Linked DNA regions of Drosophila melanogaster. The protein of the gene in region 1 interacts with the protein of each later gene in a pairwise test. Each region holds a gene or a part of one and is shown in the gene's direction. Other genes may lie near its edges.

What was found. The genes of interacting proteins can lie anywhere in the genome.
Region 2: the proteins of CG6497 (region 1) and CG13367 interact in a two-hybrid assay, tested with the Drosophila melanogaster proteins (one large-scale study listed by BioGRID).

Annotation. Positions count from the first base shown.
Region 1 is NT_037436.4:17,251,499-17,256,126, reverse strand, and holds CG6497 (uncharacterized protein), read left to right. Parts: upstream 1-2,189; 5' UTR 2,190-2,303; coding exon 2,304-2,960; 3' UTR 2,961-3,750; downstream 3,751-4,628.
Region 2 is NC_004354.4:642,602-647,156, forward strand, and holds CG13367 (uncharacterized protein), read left to right. Parts: upstream 1-2,159; 5' UTR 2,160-2,294; coding exon 2,295-3,312; intron 3,313-3,388; coding exon 3,389-3,597; 3' UTR 3,598-3,785; downstream 3,786-4,555. Other genes in the region: su(sable) (suppressor of sable), read left to right, coding at 1-740.

The DNA of each region.
Region 1 (4,628 bases):
TGAGATCGGGTGTAAACAGCAACAGCGAAAAACCCTTAACGGCAAATGTCGAACCTCGACCCTCGACTGTCGAACGTTGGATGTTGGTAGCTGGTAGCTGGTCGCTGGTAGTTGGTAGTTGGTGGCTGGAAGTTGCTGGTTTGGGCCTGCTTTTCGACGGGCCCAAATGCGTTTGTCTGTCGCTGTGTCTGCCGTGCCTGTTTTATTTTACTTTTGCATATTTTTTGGCGTGTTTCAACTATACTGCGGCGCTGTCTCTACATTTTTCAAGTTGTCTGCGTTTGACGTGCACGGATGGGCGCTCCACTGCGTCGGCGGCGGGCGAAATGGTGGCTGGCAAAGGGGGTGGCAAGGACGGCGGCGGTTGGCGTAGTTACAGTTTTGCCCATCGAATGGTTTTCCCCGCGCTCCTTGGTGCGGTTGTGGTTCGTTGCTTGGTTATCGCCAGTGCCACTACTCACACAGCCGAAGACCACTGCCTGCACCACTACGAGTGCAGCGGCAACTGCAGATGCACTCGGAAAAATCGGATAGAGCTTCCGTTGATTGATGCGTATTGAAGCAAAGTAGAATGTTTTTTTCGGTCTTGAGACCCTAAGTTATGGTCTTGAAAGAGACAATTTCCAATCAGCTTGTATCTACCTAAGGCAACTATGAAGTAAATAAAAATATATTCTAAATATACCTCATTTCTTTTAATAAAAAAAAATTAACATAATTAATTAATTAACAAAAATTAATGAAATATATAATAACACAATTTATAAGGCACACCAAATTTAATGTTTTCTTTTCGTGCCTTTAATTTGAGTTTTACTTATGAAATGTAGTTGAAAGAGTGCATTATGTGCCTATAATTTGTATAAAAGGTGAAAGCTATGAAAATATCTCACTGTCAAATATTAATTGTTTTAATAAGAAAGCACTCGATTTTTGCAAGTGCGAACCTAGCAGAAGCAGCAACAACTACTTGGGTGCTGTCGGTGAGCCTGTTTTTTAGTGCCTTCCGTAACCATTAAATTTTACGTTTTTATTAGCGCGCACACACACACATACACAGACACAGACACACTTACGCGGAGGAAGGAGGAGGAAGAGGCCGAGAGTTGGCAGATAGGCCGTCCCCACCCACTGAACTCTACCGCCCACTACCGCCCACTCCGCCAACCATTTTTGAATATTTCCGTTTTGGCTGGCAGTTTTCGGTTTTCGGCTTGTCTACAAAATGCAGTTTTGCATGCACTTTGGCCTCGGCGCAAAAAGTCAACCGAAAAGAGACAATAATAAGTGCAGAGCACAAAAGGACGAACCCGAAAAAAGGGAAAGAGCAGCATAAAACGTCGAAAAAGTAGAGCCAAGAACATGAAAACGGAAAATTGCATTGCGCTCAGAAGTATGCTATGCTTTTTTCGCTTGCCTTATCAACGTCTCAAATCGGTTAGGGTTGATAGGAAAAGCGGAGGGGCGCAAGCGGGTTACTGGCAAAACTTAGTCCAGATAGCGAAATGTTGTCGCCCAACAGGACCTGGACGTATTTTACGTATTTTAGTTGCCTGCAGCACACGCAAAAAAAAATGAAGAATACAATGCAACCCAAAGACTTTAAGACAGTTCGAGTTGCAGTCGTGGGCGGTTCCATGCGAGTTGTGGCCACTGAAATTGGTTGCATGTTTCAGGGGAACAGACCTTTACCACATGAGTGCTGTTCAAAACTGCTCAAACCTTTACAGACAACACCAATAAAGCTCAATCCCTTCAGGCCAAACAAGTTCGACCCAGCCTCGTCGAGCTCGCAACTTGTTTGGCATCCACAACATTTGGTTGCAGGGTGAACGGGCTAAAAAAAAACTCTTATACTTTTGAGTAAAACTCAATTTCAATCCAATTCAATAGCTCATTCAAATCAGAGCAATTTAAAGACCATAATAATACTGCAGAATTAATAGTTTCATTTTTGAATAGAAATAAAGAGATAATCAGAGAACGAGAGATATAGAGATTATAAATGTTCATATGGCCAATTCAATGCGTGAGTTTGTTTTATATTTATTAAAAAAATTACAAAATATTAAGAACTTAACCTAATCAAGTATAATCACAGACAAATGCCACATAAGAGGCTTGTTAAAATCGTCTTTCATTTTGCATTACTCCGAACTAAGTAGACTAATTGTATGGATCAACCTTTCGGAACATAAGTACCAAAATTAACCGAAACGAAAATTCAAACCCAGTCGGACTCATCCCCTACCAGCCAGGAACCATACACCGAAAAAAGAAGGAACCAAAGGACACAGGACATAATGGAGCTGTGGCAGAAGCTACGAGTGCAGTTTAATGACTTCTTCCACGCGAACTACCCGTACATAGCGCTCTACAGCGGACTGGGCGTGGCAGTAACAGCCTACTTGCACTACCAATGGAGCGTGCACCACTACGACCTCATGTACTGGAAGCGTTTGGCGGAGGTCTTCTCGCAGGACATCGACTGCATCCAGCTGGCTATACTGCTCTTGATCTTCGCGATCAACGCCATTTTCGTATTCATCATCCTGAGCGTCTATCTGCGCCCAGCCCTCGACAATGGCAGTGAGATGTCCTTGCTGGAGATCAAGGATCGCTATGCCCGGTTCATACTGCTCCGCCTGATAGCCCGTCTCGATCGCATACAGTCGAAGATCTCAGCGAAGCGTAAGAGCCTCACCTTCCAGCACTATGTGAGGGCACACACGAACATGGTAAAGGCGGTGGCCGTGTTCCGCAAGGATGCACGCAAGCTAATCCTGCCGAATGAGAGCGAGATCCTGATGCCCATCGAGGACATCTACGGGGTGGCTGATGACGAAGAACGACTGCTTCGGCGATCGGGCTACTACAAGCTGATCATCGACACCACCGACGAGACGGTCAAGTCTCTGTTCAACGCCAAGCTGGAGGAGATCCTGTTCCCAACCAGCTAGACGACTCGGCGGTTCCGATTGAAACTTTGAGTAAACTGCAGTCCAACACTAATTGCCTTTATCTACTCTGCCAGAGCCGCAGCTCCGAGGGCCCCTTCTTAAAGCCGTTTTATTGTTTCAATTGTTTGGCTTGGCAGCTTTTTATGGCCGCATTGTGCGCCGGGCCAACAATAACAGGCCAGTCGGAGACTGTCAGCCGTCCCCAACCCCCAATAACAATAATGGCAAAAGAAACAGCAGCAGAAACAGCAGCAGAAACAGAAGCAGAAGCAGTTGCAGAACCAGACCAGAACTAGAAACAAAACTCCAACGAGGAACAGAGACTAAACTAAAATGCCAGCCCATGTCTGCACAGCTCAAAACAATATCTAATGTTGTCTACGGCAAAATATTTTGCAAAGCGTCTTTTTGTTTTGCCCGATTTCTGTGTCCTTCAGGCCTTTGTGTGTCGACTTTTCTTTAAAATTAGCTAAAAGGTTGTGTAAATTTAACTGAAAGTGGGATAGCAGTGAAAGAAAAGCGTTGCAGGGGATAAAGGATTCTTGGAATGCATCGTGGGTACGAAAAGCAACAAGGGCGACTAGGAAATATAAATAAATTTTCTTATGGGATGATATCTAACTAAATTACATTTTCGGATGGCATGAAGTGGACTAGAGTCCGCAGTCATTAGTGATTTAATCTAGAAAAAGAGGGGAAGAACCTTTTAGGAGGAGCGTCAAATTAGCATCAATAAAATTGGGCAATAATAAATTAAATTCATAAATTCAAACACTCAACAAAATTATATAATTGACTTTTTTGGTTTGTGGTCGTACGTGCGGGCATGACAACAATCTGAAATAAAGATGCATAAATTGTTAATCTGTTTAACAGTATCTTAAGTAGTTGTAGTTCTTGATCTAATAGTACCCGATATCTCGTCGTTCATACGGACAGTCAAACGGACAGTCAAGCGGACATTGTCAGTGATTCTGACTTTATAGTGTTACATACTTTACAACTAATCTACAAGATCTAAATGTTCGAATTTTTATGTCAGTTAAAAAAAGCGTCGAGACCTATTAATTTGTAAACGAAATTGTTAATTATCTTTTTGATTGTAATACGTTATTGTACAGATTGTTGTCGTGCCATTCAAGTCTCGCAGTTAACCATTTAAAATTCACATCCTTTCATTTGCTTCAACTCGATTTCCGCAGCTGCTGCTGTTGCTCACAAAATACAACTCATATCCTTGCCAATGACTTCAAAGCAGCGCATGCTTCGCTGCGCGCCAAAAAGTAGACAACAAAAGCCTTGATAATGAAAAGCGGAAAAAACACGCACTTTTAACTTCACTTTTGGCAGCTAATGCGCGAATGGCCAAAAAGTGACAGCCTAATTTCGGTTAATGTGGCGTGTCCTTTGCTTTTGGCCATAAATCCGCACAGCACGTGTGTGGCAAACTGCATTACTTCATTCGCAGTGCGCACTTCTTTTTCCCCATTTTTCGTTTTTTTTTTTTTTTTGCTCTTCCTTTTTTAATGATGGCCACGGGTGGGCGGCTCACCTCCCGGCGAAAAAGACATTAAGTAGATTATGGTCTGATTGCATATTTGCGGATATGCGCGCCATAAACACGTTCAGACGTGCTGCAACCGCAACAACGGCGAATGGTGGAAAACA
Region 2 (4,555 bases), on another chromosome or scaffold:
ATAAGATTATGGTGAACCAACAGCTCGCCCTGGTCTTTACCGAGCTCAAGAAGTTCCATCAGCTGCCGAATGATGCTCCGAAAATTTTCGATGTCAGCTTTATAGTGAACAACACAACGTTGCAGCAGATCTTTGCCAAGCTCTTTATCTTTGTAGATGACAATGGCGAGGTGGTGCAGATTCCCGAGGAGCCCAACGGTAATGGTGCTGCTCTTGGTGGCGGCGGAGATTCTGGAGGCGGAGTAGGAGGAGGAGGAGGAGGAGGAGGAGTAGTGCTTCCCAATCTATCGCAACCCCCACCAAATCTGAGCCAAATGTTAAGGCTACCGCCACCGAACATACGAATGCTTCGCATGTCGGGAATGATGATGCAAATGGGCAACGTGGGACCCCCTTTCAATCAGCCACCGCCACGCGGAGGATTGATGGGAATGCCTCCGAATGGCAATGGATTAAACCAGGGCGTTGGCAATCTGGGAGGACTTGGCCAGTTGGGGATAAACCAAGGAGGAGGACCTGTGCCCAATGGCAATCCCTTCAACCCATTTGGTGGGAACAATGGGGGAGGAGCTGGCGTCATGAACAACATGAATTCAATGGGCAACATGGGCATGGGCTTCAATAACTTCAACAATAATGGCGGCAGAGGAGGGCACTTTCCGGGCGGAGGATCAGGCGGAAACGGCAACGGAAACAATCGCAACCAGCGAGGCGGCAACCACCGAAACCGCAACATTTAAAGGCCCATGCGTTGCGAAAACACAAACGCAAAAGGAGCCCTTTTGCCCCAATGATCTTAAAGCGATGCTATGCCACATGACCCTTTCCCCCAACCATACCATACGTCGTGGAAAACTCGTGGTTTTCCGCGCACCTTCCCCGAAAATCCAGGCATGACTCCTTGTAAATGTATTTTATTCCCGAATCCCCATTATTGTCACTATTTTTTTCGCTAGGTGTAAGGATCTTATTAGCTATACGAGTAGTAAAGAGTAAATAACAAAACAATCCGGAGTAAGAACGAAAAGTGAAGCAGAATGGTATGCGCAGCCCTTTTTAACAAACTTTTTTAAATTATATAGGATAATTTGTTCAATAGCGCGAGTACTACATTGATTAACTAGACGTACGAACTCAAAATAAATGACATCTTTTAAGTAATGTGCCATGCTTAGGTTGCTGGGCCGTCCCGGAGGAGCAGAAAGAAATGAATAGCTCTTGAAAGCGTGCGAAACTACACCTAAACTCTTTAGAAAGCTTTTGCGTACTTATCGATGCTAAATTCTGAATTGGCTTCTCGACCATTTTTAATTTAGTTCCTACAAGGTATATGTTTACGTTTACGCTTAAATTATGACATCTTCTGCGAATTCGAACTAAAAATAGCAGTATAGCGCAATTCTACCTTATATACACACTTGCCATCGAATCTAATGTACTAATAATATAAACGGTCGAAGAAATACCGGTGGAGATTCCATATTCAATTTCTCGCCAGTGGCGTTTTGTTAGATTTCCCTATCAATTTCGTTGGTAAAAGAACGTTGACCGTTGAACGTTTTTGAATTCCTAAAAAAACCAGGGCTGCATTAGTCAGAGCACAGTTGGCTACCTGGCAGCCCCCGCCGATCCGGTCTGGCAACACTGGTTTAACAAAAACATACTACACAAATTACGTTGTTTTGCATAGCAGAACAAGCACATTGAAGCATTTATTGTTTTAAAAATCACTACGACCTGAATAAGGGCATGGATTAGCCATGTCAACCGACGCCGACCTAAACAAGTGCGTCAGTCCCATGTACCAGGTGTCAACCGCAGGCGACGGCCTCCAAGCAGAAGCCGCTGGAGATCTGGCGTTGGCCTCCATTGTCGCAGCTCCCTCCTATTCCTGCGAGCCACAGAAGGACTCCACCGACATGGACGTGGACATGGAGATAGACAACGATCTTACCACTAGCGAACGGATGCCAACGGTGGCCGAACGTTCAACGGTCAACGTTCTTTTACCAACGAAATTGATAGGGAAATCTAACAAAACGCCACTGGCGAGAAATTGAATATGGAATCTCCACCGGTATTTCTTCTTTCTATTTTGAATTCCTAAAAAAACCAGGGCTGCATTAGTCAGAGCACAGTTGGCTACCTGGCAGCCCCCGCCGATCCGGTCTGGCAACACTGGTTTAACAAAAACATACTACACAAATTACGTTGTTTTGCATAGCAGAACAAGCACATTGAAGCATTTATTGTTTTAAAAATCACTACGACCTGAATAAGGGCATGGATTAGCCATGTCAACCGACGCCGACCTAAACAAGTGCGTCAGTCCCATGTACCAGGTGTCAACCGCAGGCGACGGCCTCCAAGCAGAAGCCGCTGGAGATCTGGCGTTGGCCTCCATTGTCGCAGCTCCCTCCTATTCCTGCGAGCCACAGAAGGACTCCACCGACATGGACGTGGACATGGAGATAGACAACGATCTTACCACTAGCGAACGGATGCCAACGGTGGCCGAGCTGGAGCAGCCGATGGATTCCAAAACGAAACGGGAGAAAAAAGAGGAGGAGGAGCAGAAGGACGCGCAGGACCAGAAGCCACTGGAGGACGGCTCCGTGCAACCGCCCAGCAATCCGACAGCCATCAAAATCGAGGAGGAGGACAAGCCAGTGAAGCCGCCGCCGCAGCCGCAGGCTCAGGAGGAAGTCGCGCCCAGTTCGCCGGAGACAGCAGCGAATCCCAGCCAGAGAACTGCGGGCAAGATCACCCGTAGCAGTCTAAATGGCACAGCCAACCAGGCGCCCACCCGCTCCCCAACGATAATAAAGCGTCTGCGAAAGAGCACGCGCTTCAAGGCCAAGCAAACGGGCAAGGGCACTCCCGGAAGCGGCAGTAGCCAGTCAAATGGCCACAATAGCGGGGCGAATGGTTCCACCGGCAGCTCCGTGCACCTCGCGGGCGCTGGCGCCCATCCCAGTAATACCAACAAGCATGGGAAGTCCGGTCCAGCGGGCACAGGCGGGGCCACTGGAGCCCGTAATCGCCGCGCTCTCTTCAAGAAACCAGCACAGAAAACTCCCAAGGTGCAGGCGAGCACCAGGTTCGTGAGAAGCCTTTTCCACAAGGGCAGCTATATACAAATCGGGGATATCGTCAGCATTGTGGACAGCGAGCAGAATCTGTACTACGCCCAGATACGCGGTCTGCTTGTGGACGCCTATTGCGAGAAGTCCGCCTTCCTCACCTGGCTGATTCCCACGCAGGACAGTCCGGATCCCCAGGAGGGCTTCGATCCCCCTACCTACCTAATCGGTATGTCAGTCCTGTCCTCCTGCCTGCTACCCAAAGTTTTTTAAATTGTATTTTTGCTTAACTCCCGTGCCTGCAGGACCCGATGAGGAGCTGTCCCGGAAGCTCTGCTACCTAGAGTTCGTGATGCATGCTCCCAGCAACTACTACTTCGACCGGAGCACCCCGTTTCCCCTGCCGGACGTGGATGAGTACACTGCCCAGAGATCGGGCGGCTACATCTGGACGCGGCTGCCGATAGTCAAGCGGGAAAAGGGCAGTGGCCACAAAGCGGGCGGTGCCTCCTAGCAGAAGAGGTGGCTCAAGGGCAGGATGGCCGGAGCCCTGAATTTGAAAAATCTAATTTATTGCAACTTTTACTCTTCGTAAACGGGCTACTTGCCGAACAGAAAATAATTCAAAAAGTACTTGATGTACTGTAGTACCAACTGAACTCAATCAGCAATTAATGAATAAAATACAATTTTGTAATTATGGATAACGAAGCGTTTCCGACCTATAAAGTATACATGTATAAACATATGTTCTTGATCAGGATCAATAGCCGAGTCGAACTGGCCATGTCCGTCTGACCGTATGAACGCCTCAATCTCAGGAACTATAAAACAGACAGTCGCAGCGCAAGTTTGTTGACCCATGTGGCCCAGTTTAGTGTCGTCCAACGCTACGCGCGCACTTTTGAAAAATGTTTTGATATTTTTAAAATTTTGTTATAAGTCCTGTTTGAATTGCAAAAAACTAATTCCCACGCCCACAAACCGCCCAAAACTGCCACGCATATACTTTTGAAAAATGTTTTGATTTTTCTTCGATTTTACTTTTTTGCAATTTGATCGGTATACCATAAACAAAACATTAAAAATTTTGATTAAGATACCAAAAGGTTATCGACACGAATCGGAATCGTTATTGAATTAGACGAGAAAATAGTGGTGGAGAAACATCGATGTTTCCGATTTGGCGAAAAATATCAAAGTCTTAAACATATTCTTTAAACATGTTGTTCTAAACATCGATGTTTTAAATAAAAACAAAAAAATTATCTGTTTAATTTAAATATTATTTTCTTTTTTAATATTGACTAAATAAAAAAGGCAGTATTTTAACTAAACATAAACTTATTGTCGTCTACGTCTTCATCCCTCCTTATTCAGGAGTTAAAAACTTAAATTTCAGATATTTATCCACGTCTTTCAGGACATCAGCCAACACCACCAGCAAGTCACACTAAATTTGCGATATGTTA